4 linked regions of the Arabidopsis thaliana genome follow. The protein of the gene in region 2 interacts with the protein of the main gene of each other region in a pairwise test. Each region holds a gene or a part of one and is shown on either strand. Other genes may lie near its edges. The genes, in order: SWAP70, AT4G25660, AT1G14340 and AT1G49850.

Region 1 (5,568 bases), on a different chromosome or scaffold from region 2:
ATAAGTATAACTGTTAAAGTTTGTGTGTATCTAGCTCTTTGTAAAGAATTGGATGACGGTATATATGGAACTTGAATACTTGATCCACTAGTTTCTTAGCTATAGATAGAAGAAGAGAAAAGAAAAGAAAAGTTTTAGAATTTGCTTTTAGAGTGTAAAGAAATGTGATAAAAAGAAAAAAAAAAAAAGTTAAGCTCGCAACTTTGTTATATAATATGGTTTTGCATGGAGGTTGATGGTTTATTTTACTAGTATCTCTGAATTTAAATGAAGAAAAGCAAGTGGAGGAATGGGCAATCGATTTGATATAACGAACTTCATTTTTGTCAATCTTAATTAGATGTTAATAATGATGTTTTATATCTAAAAAGGACTATATATATATAATTTGAGTATTGAATTTAATTAATGAATGTAAGAAAAAACAGAAGAATATTCAAGTGGATGTCACTATCTCTGCGACTCTACAGCACTTTTGGTTTTCTATGAAAAAAAAAAGAAGAAACTGAAACTGAAAATTCCTTAAGGTCAGATTCATCCAAAAGTAGAATTTTAATGGACTTTTATGTTTTGTGGAAGAATGTCAGATTTTGCAAGGGAAAGTGAGTCATGGCAGGTTGCACTAGCTCATAGACCACTAACAATATGTTACTGTCAACAAACATCATGATTTCACTATGGAAGGTATACATGAATGACCACATCACATGGATATATATTTTCTTATTTTCAAACACTAATCATAAGAACATACCAAATTTTAGATAAATGGTCAAACTTATAAATGTCAAAAGGTGTCCAAATTCTGTAGTATATTATATAGTAGAAGTTTCTTCTTATTTTGGAGATTGAATATAAAGGAGCCAAAAAAATATGGATTTTGATAGCTTCTTAGACGTTTCATTTAGGAAATATATGCATGGTTGGGTTGATGAGAATGCCATAGAAGTGAAAAACAAATGAGAAAATTCATACAAAAGGAATCTACATACGTAGAATAAAGCAAGAGGACCACTTCACGTTTTGCAGCTTTCCCACTTCAGTTAACCCCAAAATTGAATATTGTCTTGGCTTACATGTCTACTACTCTTTTGCTTTGATGCTTTTCAATCCATTTCTGTATCCCCAACAAGTTGTTGTGTTTCCTCCTCCTATGTAGTTATCAGCGCCTAGCTATTAAGGAAAGAGTATCATCATATCACATATGATTACTCAAATCTCATATATTATTGAATATTATGTTATGTACTTATATCATGTTTCATTACGACCATTAGGGAAGTTGTAGTACATTGAAAATCTTGAAGATTAAGAGAAAGTGTAAAGCTGTGTCTAACGCATCTATGTTTGAAGTCCCTGTGAACTAAGTGTCTAAGTCACCACTACCAAGCGTCGAAGCTAGTACGCAATATTTCACAATCTTGCACACATTTGAGATTAGTTGGGCAAAGTAAGAACTCTGCTCTCTCCTAAACGATTGGCTTGTTACAGCCCGGCCCATTGATGTTCCTTAGCCCATCGTTTATGTAAAGCTTCTCCCTTAACAAAGCCTACCTTCTACAGATCTACTTAATCATCCTCATAACCAAAAACAAAACAAAAGAATCATGTGATGACACCTCCACCGTCAGATCAAAAACCATAAAAATGAAGTGAACAAACAAAAAGTGAGAAACTCAAGAACCGGTTCATTTGACGAGTAAGCTGATCCAGTATCGTACCGACCGGTTAAGTTGATTTGATCGCGTTGAAAGAGTGAAGACAGATTCAACTGCAATTCCGCGAAACCAAACCTAACAGCATTTTTCTCCAATTCCTTCTTCTTCTTCTTCTTCTTCTGTAACCTCGTCTTCTTCAGCTTATACTCATAGCTATACCAAAGAAAACCTCTTAAAACCCTTCTTCTCTCGATCCATCGATCAGCAACAATTCACTTCTAATCGATCAAGAGCTTTCCGATCTCGTCGATCCCAATTAACATGGCTTCCAACGGCGCTTCTCCGGTCTTTTTCTCTCTTGATCTCTGTGTGCTACAATTTAGTCTCTTTCTTTTGGCTGCTTTTCTCATTCACACTCTTAAATTGACCCATTTTGTCAATTTCTGAAAATGCGCAGAGAATTGTTGATGCTACTGAGAACAGCTTGGATAAGATCAAGCGACAATTGGCATCTGGCTCTGGTCGGAACTTGCTACAAGGACCTCTTTTCAAGCGATCTGAAACTGTAAGTCCAATTTTTTTAAGTGAAAATGATCAAAACCAGTTTTTGCTTTATTGATTGGGATTTCTTAGTTAGCTCAAACTAAGAAGACTCTCTGATAGCTCACTATTAGATTTCTATAGCTTAAACAAGTCTTTTGGCCTGAAATGTCTTGGCTTATTCAAAGGTTCACAATGATAATATCTTTTGTTTGTGTTTATGTATGAATAGCTGAGAAAATGGAACGAACGATGGGTGATACTTGATCCAACAACAGGGAAAATGGAGTATAAGTGAGTTATATCAATTTGCTTATGTAGCTGCATTTGTGTGTAGACCACTTCATCATGGTTTTATTCATTTCTGATGTATTTCCATGACTCAGGACGAGGCGAAATGAGCCAACTATCAAGGGAACAATTTTGTTTGACGAAAATAGCACAATCTCCATCTCTCCTGTCAACTTCCAGTATGGATGCTACATTCTTTTTTTTGTTGCTCTGTATAATCATCATTATTTGGTGTCTGTTTGTATCATTGACTTTGTTTCTTTTGTGTTTCAGGGGGCTTCCAAAATATAATGGTTGCTGTATTTGTATCCTTGGTTTTAGTAAAATGTTGGCATATTTATAATTGTTTCTTTTGTCTATAAGGAGATAGTTGATTGGAATCTAGAGTTGAATTTTCTTCAACTTGATATAAGATATTGGTACCCCACAGAAGAAAGATTACTTTTTGTGTGCAGAGACTCCTGGTGCAGCTAAAGCTTGGGTCACAACCTTACAGTAAGTCATCTGGATCTTCATCTTTTTGTTTGCTTCTCTTTCTGTCCTTTTTATTTACTTACCATTCTCTAGAGAAGCCACCCCGCTTATTTCATCTATCTTAAATAATTCATAGTTGTGTTGATTTAATGGTTTCGTCGTCGACCATGTTGAAAGAATCATCTTTCTCTCTCTTTTTACGTTTCTTACTGAAAATGTAATACCTTCTAAATGCCCCTCAAAAGCCAATCTGATAAACCTTATCTTTCTTTGTTCGTTCCAGTGCGACACAGCTAGTTCTAAAGGCCCATAAGGAGGCTGTCGAATCTCTAAGTGGAAGTGGTTCTGCAACACTTGGTACCGTTGCAACCGTTGTTGCCGCTGCCAATTCAACAGCATTGGAATGTTCCAGAGAAATTCAAGCAGCAATGCAGATCTCTTTGAGGAATGCATTGAAAATAACGCCAAATAAACCGATTGATGGACCACTAGATGATTTGACAATAATGAAGGTGTGGTATCTTTGCATCTCTCTTTCTCTTCGAATTTGGGAAACTTTTGTGAATAGCATATTGACATCCTTTGGCTGTTGAGATTCTGAAATGTCAAGATGAACGATGAAAGCATATAGGGACACCTTACAGGAAACTCTGCTTGTCAAGGATGAAAATTAACAGAATTAGCATAAATCTTATTCGTCCATCTTCATTCTAATGTCCAGGTTAACCTTATTGAGCCACTTACATCTTACAGGAAACTCTGCGTGTCAAAGATGAAGAATTACATAATTTAGCCAGGGAACTTCGTTCTCGTGACTCAATGATAAAGGAAATAGCAGATAAGCTATCTGAGACTGCTGAAGCAGCTGTAGCTGCAGCATCTGCTGCTCATACAATGGATGAACAAAGGAAAATCGTTTGTGTGGAATTTGAGCGCTTGACTACAGACTCACAGAGACAGCAAGAAGCCACAAAATTAAAGGTAATGAGGCCATGTCATATATAGATACTTTTGCATCCTTGTGTATGTTTTGTTGTTTATTTGATCTTTATCTCCTATGTAGCTCAAGGAATTGGAAGAGAAGACCTTTACTTTGAGTAAGGAAAAAGATCAATTGGTTAAGGAAAGAGACGCTGCTCTCCAAGAGGCACATATGTGGCGGTCTGAGCTTGGGAAAGCCAGAGAGCGTGTTGTCATACTTGAAGGAGCTGTTGTGAGGGCCGAAGAGAAAGTGAGGGTTGCAGAAGCAAGCGGTGAAGCAAAATCAAAAGAGGCTTCTCAGAGAGAAGCAACTGCTTGGACAGAGAAGCAAGAGCTTTTAGCATATGTGAATATGTTACAAACTCAGCTTCAAAGGTGAGCCTATCTGAATCTATCTCCCAGGGAAACTCATGACTTTTGAAGGGTCATAAATCTCTTTATTTTTGAATAAACAGGCAGCAACTAGAGACAAAGCAAGTGTGTGAGGAGAAGACTGAGTCTACTAACGGCGAAGCTTCTCTTCCAATGACAAAGGAAACAGAAAAGAATGTGGATAAAGCATGTCTGAGCATTTCAAGAACAGCCTCTATACCGGGAGAGAATGTAGTCCATATGAGTGAAGAGCAGGTAGTAAACGCTCAGCCTCCGGTGGGAGAAAACGAATGGAATGATATTCAGGCAACAGAGGCAAGAGTTTCTGATGTAAGAGAAATATCTGCAGAGACTGAACGGGACAGAAGAAACAGCTTGGATATCCCGGTAGTGTCTCCTGAACCTAACGTTCCACGCAATGATCCGCCTTCCGAATCATTTCATCACCAGCCTTGAATAAAGATTGGTAGATCTTCGTACATTTTAATATACTCTTTGATGGTCTGGTAATGTTTGGAGAGTTGATTCTTCTAACAACAAAAAGAATTTGTCTTTTTAGTTTTCTTGTACATTCAAGAGTTGTTATGTATCTGCCGCTCTTGAATTTGTCTGACTAGGGAATGATTCTTTTTCCCTTTTATTACAACATGAAGAACAGAGAGATATGTGTTAAACTTTGACTTATGTTTTTGGATTCATATAAACCAGTTTTCATATAAATGCAATCCTTCAACAAACCACGATGGTTGTGATGTTAGTACCAGTTTTATCAAAGACCTACACTGAATAGAGGAATATACATGGGTTGAGTCACTCTGATTTTAAACTCTTATTGAAAAGCTTGAAAAGTTACAGAATACAAGAAACCAGAGACAACAAATGAGACAGAGTTCCGTTTCTTATTGAAACAACAAGACAATCGACCCGAAAACGAACTCCCTCAAAGAACACAAAGCTCACACAAACCCCCCAAGTCAACATCTCCTTGTTTAAACAGGTAGTGAGTACTTAGCGGAAACCTCCTTCCACGCAGCACGGCTACTAATCTTATCCCACCAAGCGCTAACATGCTTCCTATCTTTGATCAAATGAGCCTTCCCAATAGGACCAACAAGATACTCGGTGAAAGGAAGGTGAGCCAAATCAGCTAGACTCACAAAATCACCAGCCAAGTATTCGTTCTTAGAAAGCTGAGCTTCATAGACATCAAGCACTTCTGCAAGCTTCTCTTCACTCTCCTTAATAACTTTCT
Region 2 (4,446 bases):
TATTTTGACCAATGTGAAACACCCATCTAGGGACAATCTTATCAATAAATACACCAAAATTCCTCGGGAACGTCCATATCAGCCTACTACGACCTGGACTGACCGGAATACATATAAAGATCAAAGACAATCTCCGCTTTGACAATGCCGCCTGTATACAGAACCATACTGTTAGGTAACTAAAACATGTGACTCTAAACAAGAAAATCTTGATACAAGTTAAAATCTATGACCTTGTCAGAAGCAGCTGGTGCGGGATACTCATGTTCCTGCTCTGGTAGAGGGTCTGTGGAAGAGCGATACACACATGGTGCAATAAAATTAGAATAACCCCATTCTTGTTTTGAAAAGAACCCTTTGTTGTCTAGTTTTTTAACGTTGATTTCGAGTGGTTTCCCCCCTTCTCTGTCAATCTTCTCTGCAAGAAGAATCTGAAGGTTGGTAAAAGGATTAAAACAACTATTTGAAATACAAATTATGTATTTGCCTTTTGGTTTAGGAAACCGCATCAGTCCATAATGTGCATAAGGAACATGAGCCGGGTCCATGAGGTTTTCCACCAAGACATCGTACCTGAAAGATTTCAGATTTACACAAAAACATCAACGGAGAATTACCACACATAGTTGAAATGATGTAAAAGCCAATAGATACCCGTAAGGAATATCACGATTCCCCATCAACTTAGTGAATGATGGGTCTTCTAACTCTGGAATGTAAGGAGGCTTGTTGGTTTCAATAATGTTTTTGTACTTTGGATCACTGTTTGGCCAAAACCAAATGATCTCATGCTGCACAGTACTCGGGTAAACAGCTACACAAGCTTGCTTGAAAGTGTGGACCTGATTTGCATTACCAAAATAATCATTGATACAACCAAAGACTTTGACTTTATGTTCCATATAAACCATATGCTAAACCAATCTAAAACAAACAAATCATCATCAATAGCTATAAAAATTTACCGGAGGACCATCAGGAGGAGCTTGAGGAATGAGTTTACAGTCACCGGAACCATTAAAGCACCATCCATGATAAACACATTGCAACCTCCCCCATTGATCAATCCTTCCATCAGACAAAGGAGCAAGACGATGAGGACACGTGTCATCCATCACTTTCCATTGCTTCTCGTTCCTATCCCACCAAACAACCAAATCAATCCCCATAACTTTCTTCCCATGAGGAACCTTCTTGTCAAGATCGCAAATTGGCATCACTGGGTACCAATTAGCGTACCAATCGAACTTATCCGACCCGGGTTCGAATAGGGCTTCAGGTTCCGGTGGAGAATTCGTTGACGTAGCGGCTGATGATGATGGTGGTGATGATACTGCGGTTGTGAATCGACTTGATTTGCGGGTGATAAGGGAATTAGGAGAAATGGGTAGGCTTGGATTGGAGAAGGAACATCTGAAACGAGGTTTCGTATTGAGAATTCGGAGCGATGGAAGAGCGCATGCAGCAAGAGCAGCTTCCATGGCGTTGTGTGGTGGTAACAACCGGAGAGACGAAGCAAATGAAAGTCTTCTTTACCAATCTCTTTTGACAAATTTATAATCCAACGGTTCAAATTAAAATATCTCAGGATGTATTTAAACCAATTGATAATCATTTTTCTGGTTTAATGAAAACTAAACCGGTTAATTGAAAGAGAAAGTGTCGGTTGAGTGTGAAACCGGCGTCGGCAAAGTGAGGGTATAAGGGTCCTTTCCAGACACCACAGCATCAGTTTCTTCAATCTCCCACGTCTGAGATTGAAAAGTTTGGGAGAAGATAAACAAACTCAAAATACCTCAGCTTTAGATCAAAATCTAAAAACAAGAGTTTCGTGCAGTGGTTTCTTAGAGATCTAGTAGATTAGAGAATTTGGATTTGTTGAAGAAAAGTGGATTTGGTACGATTCTATAGGTTTCCTTCTTCTCTGAAGCTACTATAGAGAGAATCTGCGAGCTCAATTTCGTAGTAAATTAGGGTTCGTGTTTCTTGGTAAAGATAGAATCAATGGCGGAGGTTGTTCTGCACATATACGATGTGACGAACAGTGGATCAGAGAAGACTAACAACACCATAGTTCAGATCAATAGGTTCTTCAAAGACGGGATCGGTCTTGGCGGTATATTCCACAGCGCTATTCAGGTACTACTACTCCACTGCCTCGATCTTCTTCGTCTTTAGTCTATCAATCTACATCTGCACATGTATCGATGATGTCTCTCTTTTGAGTTGTTGTTTGTGTGTCTGTATGTGGAAATGAAGAATTTGAAGGAATGATATTTTTGGTTTTATCTGTGAGGCTCTAATCTAATGGCATATGGTCGTAAAGGTCTCTGTAAGATCTTGAGCTTAAGCTCCCTTTTCGTCTGTACTGAGGATCTCAATACTCGGTTCTTCAAGTAATTTTAGAAACGTGTTATGGGATTATGGGTGCGATGAACTTTAGGTTTACATGTTGCTATTGATTCGCAGGGAAGAGTGATTGAATAGAATCTTGTATGAACTTTGTGCAGGTATATGGAAACGATGAATGGTCTTATGGGTATTGTGAACAAGGAACTGGTGTGTTCAGCTGTCCTAGTGGCAAGAATCCAATGTACACATATCGTGAGAAAATTGTTCTTGGGAAGACAGATTGTACAATCTTCATGGTAAATCAGATCTTGCGTGAGCTCAGCAGGGAATGGCCAGGACACACTTATGATTTGCTGTCCAAAAATTGCAATCACTTCTGCGATGTATTATGTGACCGCCTTGGTGTGCCAAAGATCCCAGGTAAAACCATTATTGTGGGAATCAGGGTTTGTGTGTGTGTTTATGTTATGTGACGGCTTGGGTTCTGTCTCTTAACAGGTTGGGTGAATCGTTTTGCTCATGCTGGCGACACAGCCTTGGAAGTAGCAGGAAACACAGCAATGCGGGTGGGTTCTCTCTCATTTTGCTCTGCCCACGCTGTTTCTTTTTTTACACCTGAATGCATGTGGATGTTAAGTCCTTGTGAACTGTGACTTTTGCAGGTAAAGCAAGCCAAAACTGAACTTGTTTCAGCCAGTAAAGTGGCTTATCGCTTCCTTTCGAATGTTACCTCAAACATAACCAATGGTTCAAATGGCTCCAGTGGCTCTCCACAGCGGCCAGGAACTCTCAACAATTCAGACAATGGGAGCTTTAGATTGCAAGGTAGTTGGTTGAAAGGTATACTTAACACTGCCAAACCCTCCACAAGTACAGAGATAGGGAACAAAGAGGAAGATACAAATCATACAATCACCAATCAGAAAAAGCAGAACCGTGACTCTGATGTTCTACTATTTCAGTAGCAACTGTACTGATCCACCCCAATGTATTCACTTACTGTATATCCACCTATCCAAAATTTATTCGTTTGTATCCATTACTTTGTATCACGATTCGAACACACCTCTCTTTTTTTTTCCCCTTTTCACAGCAGAACGTGTGATTTTGTTAAGAAGATATTTTCAACACGTTACTGGCAAAGACCAAGCAAGTCTTAGCATATGCATTGCACACCTATTAGAGGGTTTGTTAAAAGAATGTGATATAAGATAAGCAACAATGCAGTATGAAGAGACTTCAACATGTATAATAGATACAACTCAAAATGCGTCTTTAATATTACAGCGAACGAAAACAGAGTATAAGGTCTAACGTCAAGAGAAAAAAACAGAGCATTGACACCAAAGCAAGCAGAAGGCAAATGTTTATTTTAAAAACCGAATGAGGACGAGTCGTGGCATCTGTCATCCCCGGAACATCCCATTGAACACAAAGGCGTTCCCATCAGCATTTTCAGATATCTGTAGCGCCGAGACAGCCTGAGCAGCAATCAAATCAGCTGATATTCCCATGTTGTTATCCCAAGCACCCCTCCTCGTGAATGGCGACCAGTTACTATCTCCTAGTCCATAGCCATTTGACACAAACCCAATCCCTTGAACCGCATAGCTAGCACAGCTTTGGCGAGGAACGTAGTTAGTTCTTTCATCTCTAAACAGATCCATTGTGAAACCCTTTTCTTCACCAAACTTGACTCGAGATGAATCATCAGAATCTTCGCCCAGTAGGACGTGCAGAGCAACAGCTTCTGCAATTGCAGCTCCTTCTTCATCTAACCTTTGTTGTTCTTCCAATCTCTTCTGCTTCTTCTTTTCAAGCTCAGCCCGGATGGCTGCAGAAGTAGCAAGAGCTTTCTCCAAACGTCTCTTTTTCTTCTCAGCTTGTTTGATACGATCAAATTCATCTTTACCATGCTTCTTCTTCGCTTTCCTAACGACTGGCTGAACTTGCTTGCACACCGTGTGATCCATTATTGCTTGACTATAAATTTCTAACTAAAAAACTGCACTAAACTCGATGATGTTGTAGAGGAACTCAAGAACTACACCCACTCTGGTATATAGGAATACCTCATGGTGCGGACAATACAAT
Region 3 (3,806 bases), on a different chromosome or scaffold from region 2:
CGAAATAACCGTCACGCGGAGGTTAGTGAACCTGTAACGAAGGTTAAAAGCTCGAGACACTGCAGCTAAGGTTAGTGGGAGCCAAAGGATGGTTAGACCTAGAATGAGATTGGCTAATAGATCTCCGTAATGAGCTCCGCCGTCGAAGTAGACTGTTTCTTTCTTCGCCGGTTTGGAATCGGAAGGAACGGTGGATGCGGATGCGGAGGAGGAAGCTAGGAGCAATCTTTGAATGTGTCTTTGTGGTAGTTTCGTGGAGGGAGACAATGAAGAAGCGGGGAAGGAGAAGGTGGTTGAGAGGAGGAGAGATTTGCGAACGACGGAGGTTACGGCGGTTGACGGCGGAATTGAGGAAGAAGCTGCCATGAGAGAATGATTTGAGTGACTGGAAGATTTGGAGTGAAAAGATGATGACTTCTCTGTTTTTTGGATTTGATTTTTTGGCGCAAATTGTGCCACGTGGCCTAAGCTCTATGGATACAACATCTATCCAAATATTGAATCAATATCAACCATAGAATGATATAAATCAGAAATTATATAAGAAAAAAGATTATGCTACTAATGAAGAGTTAAGATGTAGGTAATGTAACCAAACTCTATATCAGCATCATCATGTGAGAGTATACTTTGATAGATTTCTATATGGTATTCGTTTTGATAAAATTTGGTCTTATCACACTTCATGAGCCAGTTATTCATGATCAGCTTTGCATCATATATATTCACAGACGAATACGGTTCTGAATCGGGCCATTGGTCTATTCACTGCCTTGAGCCGCGGGTACCGAGATCAGATGCGGCTTTAGCAGCTCTCTCTAATGCACCAGACAGCCAAAGAGCTCCGCTGGAGAAGTAACTGCTATTGACAACACTAGTTGCAGCTGCTGCCGCGGTTCTTCCTGTGGCAAAGACAGCTGATTTAGCTGTATCTGAAACATGATACCTTTGGTCAGTCATTCTAACAGCTTCAAGTCCGGTAAAGATTTTGTCAGTAAGACCAATCCTCTGTTCTAGTTGAGATACTCTAGCCACCGCTGCAGCTGATACGCCGTGGGATTCATCAAAGGCTTTAGCTTTGCTTAAAGCGTCTTTGCCTAGCACGAATCCTGTGGCAAGCATTATTTTCACCACTTCTTGAGCTTTTGTCACTGCTTCTCCAGCGTTGAACTCGCTTCGTTGAGCATAATGCTACATGATTGAAGAACGAATAAGCTTTAGAATTGAGACCAAGCATCAAACTTCAACATAAAGACTACTGAACCAGTGACCGTTAGATTTAACTATTTTAACAAAAAAAGAAGACAGAAAGATCAAAGTTGAGAGAAGTGTCAAAAGCGATACATACTTGTGAGTCCGATTCATCTTCAAAACCTCGCGAAGTCGCATTCCAGAAATCGAACTCTTCGTGATGTTGTCCCCAACGAGTTATACAAACACGCTGATCCAATATCGTTGCGCCCTGAAGATATCAAAGAAGTGAGTGATTTCTCAAGAGACATCCAAAAAAGATAGAAAGAGTGAATCAAATCCAAACTAACACTTACAGTGAGTAAAACAGCAGTTTCTTGAGAATAAGAATCCTTAAACATCACATAAGCAGTACAAGCTTGCTCACCCGACCTAGTCTCATTAACAACATTACAAAGTGTACTCTTTTGAATCCAGAATAAGCAAACAAACAACAAACTTGCTAAAAAGTAAAAAGACTCACCTGACAATATCAATATCTTGGATAGTACCAGAGAAAGAGAAGAAATCGATAAGATCATTATGAGTAACAGATGGAGATAACCCAGTAACTTCAACACCATATCCAAATTGATGATCCATCTCTGCTCAATAAGCTAAAAACAAAACAAAAAACCTAAAAATTTCAACATATCCTAAGTCAATAAATTAAATTACTTCCAGTTCGTGATTCAACTTTGGGAACTACATAGAACTTTCCGATTTAGCTTTACATGATTTGGGATTGAAATTTTCAAGCGAAATTTGAGCAAGGACAGATTGCCAAATATGTTCAGACCTAAATCGTTGATTCACTAAGCTCTAGAGAAGAAATTTAAGGAATCGAAGAATAGAAGTTACCTGTTGTAGTTGTTGTTGACCAACGGAGATCACACACAGAGAAGCTTGAAAGAGAGACAAAGGTGATGAATTGATGAAGTTGATGATGTGAGTGGGAAAGAGAAGGACTACCTTTTCAGTGAACGAAAAAGACGCAATTTTAAAAAGCTAAAAACTGCGCCGTTTAGTAACTCAATGTTGGGCCTTTAATGTCTTGAGTTAGCCCATATCGTTAACGGTTCTAAATGTAATAAAAAATTCTACATGAAAGGCCCAATGTTGTTTGATTATTTTCCAGTCTCAAACAACCCATAATCACAAATATTTTTTGAAACATAAATTTTCATCTTATGCTATTTTTTATTTTAAAAATCAGTCTTTACATATTAAAATTAAATCATTAATCATTACTAAGTGTTTGTACAAGAAGCAAAAATTAACAATCTATAGACGATTTTGTTTTTTTTCAGCAACGATTTTAACATTCTAGAACCTTTTTTATACCTTAGTATTGCATGTATATATAAAAATTGGAGTAATTTTAGATATTATCTGTCTAACCGTCCAAAGTCCAAACAGGTAAAAGTTCTCTAAGTGATAACTTTTTAAAATCTCTAAAGAGACAAATTTGACAAGTGTATGTGATATAAATACTTATGTTACTGTTAATACATGAGAGAAATTCAACGGAAAAGAAAGTTAGACCATTTTCATTGGGGGTTTTTTATAAGAGTTTCTCACAATTAAAAAATAAAAATAATAAAAATGAAGGAGAGAGAGTAGAAAGTTTCTTACTTGAGAAACTCTGAGATATTCTCTACAATCCATCATGATAATTCCCTTTTAATTATTGATTCAACTTTTTAATAAAAATATTTTTTTAATCAAAAAATCAAATTATAATATAATATTAATTTTTTTTTGTTTGAGAAACTTTGTGGGTTTTTCATGGATGGAGATGCCCTTAACTAAAAAGGAGAAAAAGAAAAGACGTGTGCCTAACAAATGTTTGATGTAATTGGTAAAAAAACGCAAAGAACATTATTATTATTAATATTCTTTGCATATGAGCCGTTGGCCAAATCAATACTTACGTCTCTCTTTCTCCATCTCTCATTGTCTCTTTCTACTTCTTTCCACGGCCACGTCCGTCTGTCAAAATTTACTAGTTTTTAATTCAGATTGATCTAGTCAGAATCTACTTTTTTTTTATGTGTGTGGTTCATGTTTCTATATTCTGACCCCTGCTGCAGTGAATTGCTATTTATGTATTTTTCATGCAAAACCAAAATTCACTGCTGGAAATGTATATTTTTCATATATGTAAACACCAGATAGTTTAATTTTGTTTTTTCACTTGTCTACCAAAATTAGAACTTTTATTAAACAACAACAATAAGGTGCTTGCGACTATAGCTTTAGAAGTTCAAGTATATGGATTATGGAACTTCTAAAAATTGCGACTATATATAAGCAAAAAACATATATTTAAGAAAAAAATAAATGTTCTAAATTACAGGAAATAGTTGAATATTGGTCCTCCAAATACAATTATCTTCACCATATATGATTATAACAATAAAATATAAAAGGTTGACCATTGACTAATGTATATATTCTATAGCTAGGTTAGACGTTTTGATTCGGATTTTGAATTTCATAGTGAAAGATTTTGATATTGAGTTGACGTCAATTCGGAGATCTACAACAAGACTACAACGTGTTTTATCAAACTC
Region 4 (3,966 bases), on a different chromosome or scaffold from region 2:
TTGCTCCATTTATAAAATTTTAGTGTTTCATAATTATAATGATCTCCCGCTTTCTTAGGAAACTCAGACAACCTCCAACGGTGATTCTAGATGAGCTCTAGAGAGGTGAGACCATCCTCAACGCCAGTATGCTATGAAAATTTATAAAAGGATAAAAATAATAATATTTTAATTTTACAGTTATATTTTAAATATTTTATATAGATAGACCAATAATAAAGATGAACGTGTCTTTGGGTTTGTGATATCGTCTCTTAGCTAAGAGTTTTTGGAATTTCTCATTCTCTCTCTTTTTTTAACTTTTAATTATTTTTATTTTTTTAATTGTTAAGAATTCTATTAAACAACTATCGTTAACGGTGGTCTGAAGCCCTTAGAAAAAAGCCAACATTTAAAGAAAAAATGTGATGAAGTGGATGGAACTCACTTTAGCTAAGAACATTTTTTGTTTGGAAAGAGGCCCATACCTATCATGTTTCATAGGTTCGGTAATGTGAGGAAAGAACATTAATTTTTTTTCCCGTGTATTTTTTTTCTCTTTTCTCTCGTAAAATCCGATGATGATTACGAATCGATCATCATCAACCGTCATCTAGATCATTAAGTAGAAGAAAACCAAAGAAGCTCGTCTCTTATCCGCCGTGATCATCATCATCTACACCGACGGTGCTCACATCTGCGAATTCGATGAACTAAATCGGAGAGTTTGTTTAACCAAATCGGAAATTTATGTGAAACTATGCTCCAATCGTTTGATAAAGGGTGAAAGCAACTAAATAACAACTAATAAATGAGTTAATTAACAAAGTGGCAATAAAAAAACAAAATTAAAAGAGGAAAATTTTATCTAGAACCAACTTGTATACTGCAACTAGTACATTAACAATTAGATTTGAGTTAAGCAACTAACTAATCAATAGTTTCTCCATTTATTCATTTTTTTTCGGGAAAAATGTTGTTTAATACACCAACTTTCAAAAAGTGGCCATTTAAACCATGAACTCCATATATGGCCAAATAAAACTTAGTAAAAGCGTTGACCGACCATTTTATACATCTCAAAACGTTGACCAGGCCAAAAATCCTGCGACGTTAGCAGTCGTTAACAGAGTCGATAACAGGCGTTAGCAGGCGTTAATTAATCCGTTTAAACACAAAAATCTTCAAACGAACAAAAATGGAGAGGCTTTTGAAGATTTTTGAATTTGGGAATTTTAGGGCATGAGAATTGGAATTGGGGATTTTAGGGATTGAGAATCGAATTGGGAATTTTGTTGGTTTCGATTAAACACAAAACGACGTCGTTTGTGTTTAAACGGATTAATTAACGTCTGCTAACGCCTATTATCGACTCTATTAACGACTGCTAACGTCGCAGGGTTTTTGGCCGGATCAATGTTTTGGAATATATAAAATGGCCGATCAACGCTTTTACTAAGTTTTATTTGGCCATATATGGAGTTCATAGTTTAAATGGCCACTTTTTGAAAGTTGGTATATTAAACAACATTTTTTCCCTTTTTTTCCGTCAATTTCTCCATTTATTCAGTTTAGTGTTTCATAATGCTCTCCCCGTTTTCTTGGGACCTATGTATTAGTGGACTTTACTTGGATAGGCCCAATAATTGGGCTTTTCCCCTTAGTTTTTTATTACAGCGACACCGTTTTTAAAGATGTTTTGTCTTAGCTCCGACAGCAAGTGGGAGATGACGTCACCTTTTCACTGCAGTTTCCCTTTACTTTTTCCTCGCAATTTTCTCTCTTCTCTCTCTCTGTCCTCCTTATCTCATCGTCTCTGACTCGCTGCACTTAGTTTCAGATCATATAAACGAATTTGGTGATTGATCGGTGCATGACGAGCGCATCGGAACTCTTCTCTACACGAAGATCACGTCCGGGTCGATCCGACCCGGCTTTAGAATCCGACACTTCTTCCTATCGACACCACTCACACCATCATCATCGCCGTCACGGCGTCCATCATCATAATCAGCGTCATGATTCCGACGGCTGTGATCCTCTCCGGCGACCCACTCCCCGTCTCCGACGCTTCTTTCACCATCCGGTTAGTTACTTTCCACCAAATTAGTAATTACTAATTTCAGTAGTTGTCTGAATTTGGTCCTTTTTACTAAAATCTCCCCTAATTTACAGATTCAGGAACGTAGTAGACCTATTCGTGATGTTCAAGGCACTAGTCAGTATTTAAATACGGATAGTACTGATACTGAAACTCAGAGTAGCAGCTTTGTTAACCTAAATGGATCCGAGAGGCTTCCTGGAGCTGTTCTGCTTGCAAGGGATAGACTTTTCGAAAGATTGAGAGGTGTTTCTTTGTCTAGTAACAGGTCTGTGCTTAACCCACTGATAAATTTTACAGCTTTACTTGATCTGCACTCTAGTCTGATTTTAGATTTCTTTAAAAATAATTGCTTTTGTCTGATCAAGATTCTTTGAAGCATGTTTTGATTTTGCTCTTGTTTCTTGTGAGGATTGGTCAAGACTTAGTGTAAAAATCAGTTTTTGTGGATTATTGTTGCTTTGTGTATTCTTTAATATCTTCTTTGAAGCCTCTTTTTCAAAATTTGGTTACGGATTTGTTTCAACTTTGTTTTTCTGATTCAGTCGAAGCAACAGAGTTTCATTGGATGATCAAAGGGAGTCTTCATTTCATTCTATAGATGGAGATCCAATTTTTCAACTAGCAGGGCTTCAAGTGACCTATGAATGCAACAAGAAACCACAAGGTCTTACTCAAGATGCTATTAACTGTTTACACCGGCAAACTTTTAGCTCAGCCGAGGTTAAATCCGAGATGAGAGATTGTAGCATATGTTTAGAGAGTTTCACTAAAGGTGACATGCTAATATCCTTACCCTGTACCCATAGTTTCCATTCTTCTTGCTTAAACCCTTGGCTTAGAGCTTGTGGAGATTGTCCTTGTTGCCGTAGAGCCATAGCAAAGGAATAGAAACTTGTAAATAGAATCTTTGCCTAACCATTAGGCCATAGCCATACACATCTTCTCTTCTTCTTGCTATAGACATCCTTAAAACGATCTTCTGAGTTTTGTCGCCCATGAGTGTTTTTTTTACTGTCACATGTTTGTAATGGTTTTTGTTGTGCCATTAGGCAGTTCAAGCGTTGATATCGTATGGTGTGAATCTTTTTAGTTTTATTCACTGTGATCTCTCTTTTAATGTCTTGTTGGTTATATGAAAGAGACTTTTTCCAAATCCAAATCTTGATCCGACAATTTGGTTATGCTTTGAGGTTATAGCTCAACAACTTAACGTTTTCATTTTCAGAAATTTTGATTGTCTCAATCTGGTGATACTACTTTAAAGCTTTGCTTCCTCTTCCAAAACGTTGTCATTATCATACATCCATGTACGTTACATATATTGAAGTCTAATATCAAAAGATTCAATCAATTTATAACAACTTTAAAAGAAAGTTATGCCAAAAAAAAGAGAACTTTAAAACAAAGTTAAGGCTAAAAGGAGAAGACAGTTGTGCACAAAAAGCTATTTTTTGCTACAAAAGCATATCAAAATGGACCCCTTTCTTCATAAATTCATGATCATCATCTTCAATTCCTTTCATAAAATCCCATTTATTTGCTCCTAACCATCACTTTCTCTATTGGGTACCTAACACACCTCACTCTCTAACCACTAAAATTAACAATACATACATTAAGAATGTCCTGCCTTTCTTTTTCTATCACATCAATTTCATGTCTTCGACAACATTAAAACCTATATGATTCAAATTCAACCAACTTAAAACGGTTTAGTTCAGTTTAAAATCAACGAAAGCTGAAGAAGATAAGAGAGCTTCACTTGCTAACAATTAACTTTCCATAGATTGAAATTTTGACTTGCTAGAAAAATATGAGACAAATTCAACATTTAAGCAGCAATTCTCCTTCTCTTGCTGCAAATAAATCCCATCACCTTACTC

The links.
Region 1: the proteins of AT4G25660 (region 2) and SWAP70 interact in a two-hybrid assay, tested with the Arabidopsis thaliana proteins (one large-scale study listed by BioGRID).
Region 3: the proteins of AT4G25660 (region 2) and AT1G14340 interact in a two-hybrid assay, tested with the Arabidopsis thaliana proteins (one large-scale study listed by BioGRID).
Region 4: the proteins of AT4G25660 (region 2) and AT1G49850 interact in a two-hybrid assay, tested with the Arabidopsis thaliana proteins (one large-scale study listed by BioGRID).

What each region holds. Positions count from the first base shown.
Region 1 is NC_003071.7:13,142,130-13,147,697, reverse strand, and holds SWAP70 (Pleckstrin homology (PH) domain-containing protein), read left to right. Parts: upstream 1-1,637; 5' UTR 1,638-1,979; coding exon 1,980-2,003; intron 2,004-2,115; coding exon 2,116-2,223; intron 2,224-2,430; coding exon 2,431-2,492; intron 2,493-2,584; coding exon 2,585-2,668; intron 2,669-2,762; coding exon 2,763-2,794; intron 2,795-2,902; coding exon 2,903-2,984; intron 2,985-3,246; coding exon 3,247-3,475; intron 3,476-3,716; coding exon 3,717-3,944; intron 3,945-4,026; coding exon 4,027-4,319; coding exon of another isoform or gene 4,320-4,323; exon of another isoform or gene 4,324-4,399; coding exon 4,400-4,772; 3' UTR 4,773-5,033; downstream 5,034-5,568. Other genes in the region: GSTF10 (glutathione S-transferase PHI 10), read right to left, coding at 5,306-5,568.
Region 2 is NC_003075.7:13,081,673-13,086,118, forward strand, and holds AT4G25660 (PPPDE putative thiol peptidase family protein), read left to right. Parts: upstream 1-1,734; 5' UTR 1,735-2,004; coding exon 2,005-2,139; intron 2,140-2,510; coding exon 2,511-2,772; intron 2,773-2,850; coding exon 2,851-2,918; intron 2,919-3,014; coding exon 3,015-3,317; 3' UTR 3,318-3,758; downstream 3,759-4,446. Other genes in the region: ACD1-like protein, read right to left, coding at 1-151, 234-573, 655-842, 966-1,481; AT4G25670 (stress response NST1-like protein), read right to left, coding at 3,759-4,325.
Region 3 is NC_003070.9:4,895,736-4,899,541, reverse strand, and holds AT1G14340 (RNA-binding (RRM/RBD/RNP motifs) family protein), read right to left. Parts: upstream 2,197-3,806; 5' UTR 2,092-2,196; intron 1,848-2,091; 5' UTR 1,834-1,847; coding exon 1,715-1,833; intron 1,624-1,714; coding exon 1,548-1,623; intron 1,463-1,547; coding exon 1,349-1,462; intron 1,192-1,348; coding exon 766-1,191; 3' UTR 507-765; downstream 1-506. Other genes in the region: AT1G14345 (NAD(P)-linked oxidoreductase superfamily protein), read right to left, coding at 1-366.
Region 4 is NC_003070.9:18,454,331-18,458,296, reverse strand, and holds AT1G49850 (RING/U-box superfamily protein), read left to right. Parts: upstream 1-1,677; 5' UTR 1,678-1,852; coding exon 1,853-2,065; intron 2,066-2,154; coding exon 2,155-2,348; intron 2,349-2,625; coding exon 2,626-2,971; 3' UTR 2,972-3,453; downstream 3,454-3,966. UniProt on the Arabidopsis thaliana protein: Probable E3 ubiquitin-protein ligase that may possess E3 ubiquitin ligase activity in vitro.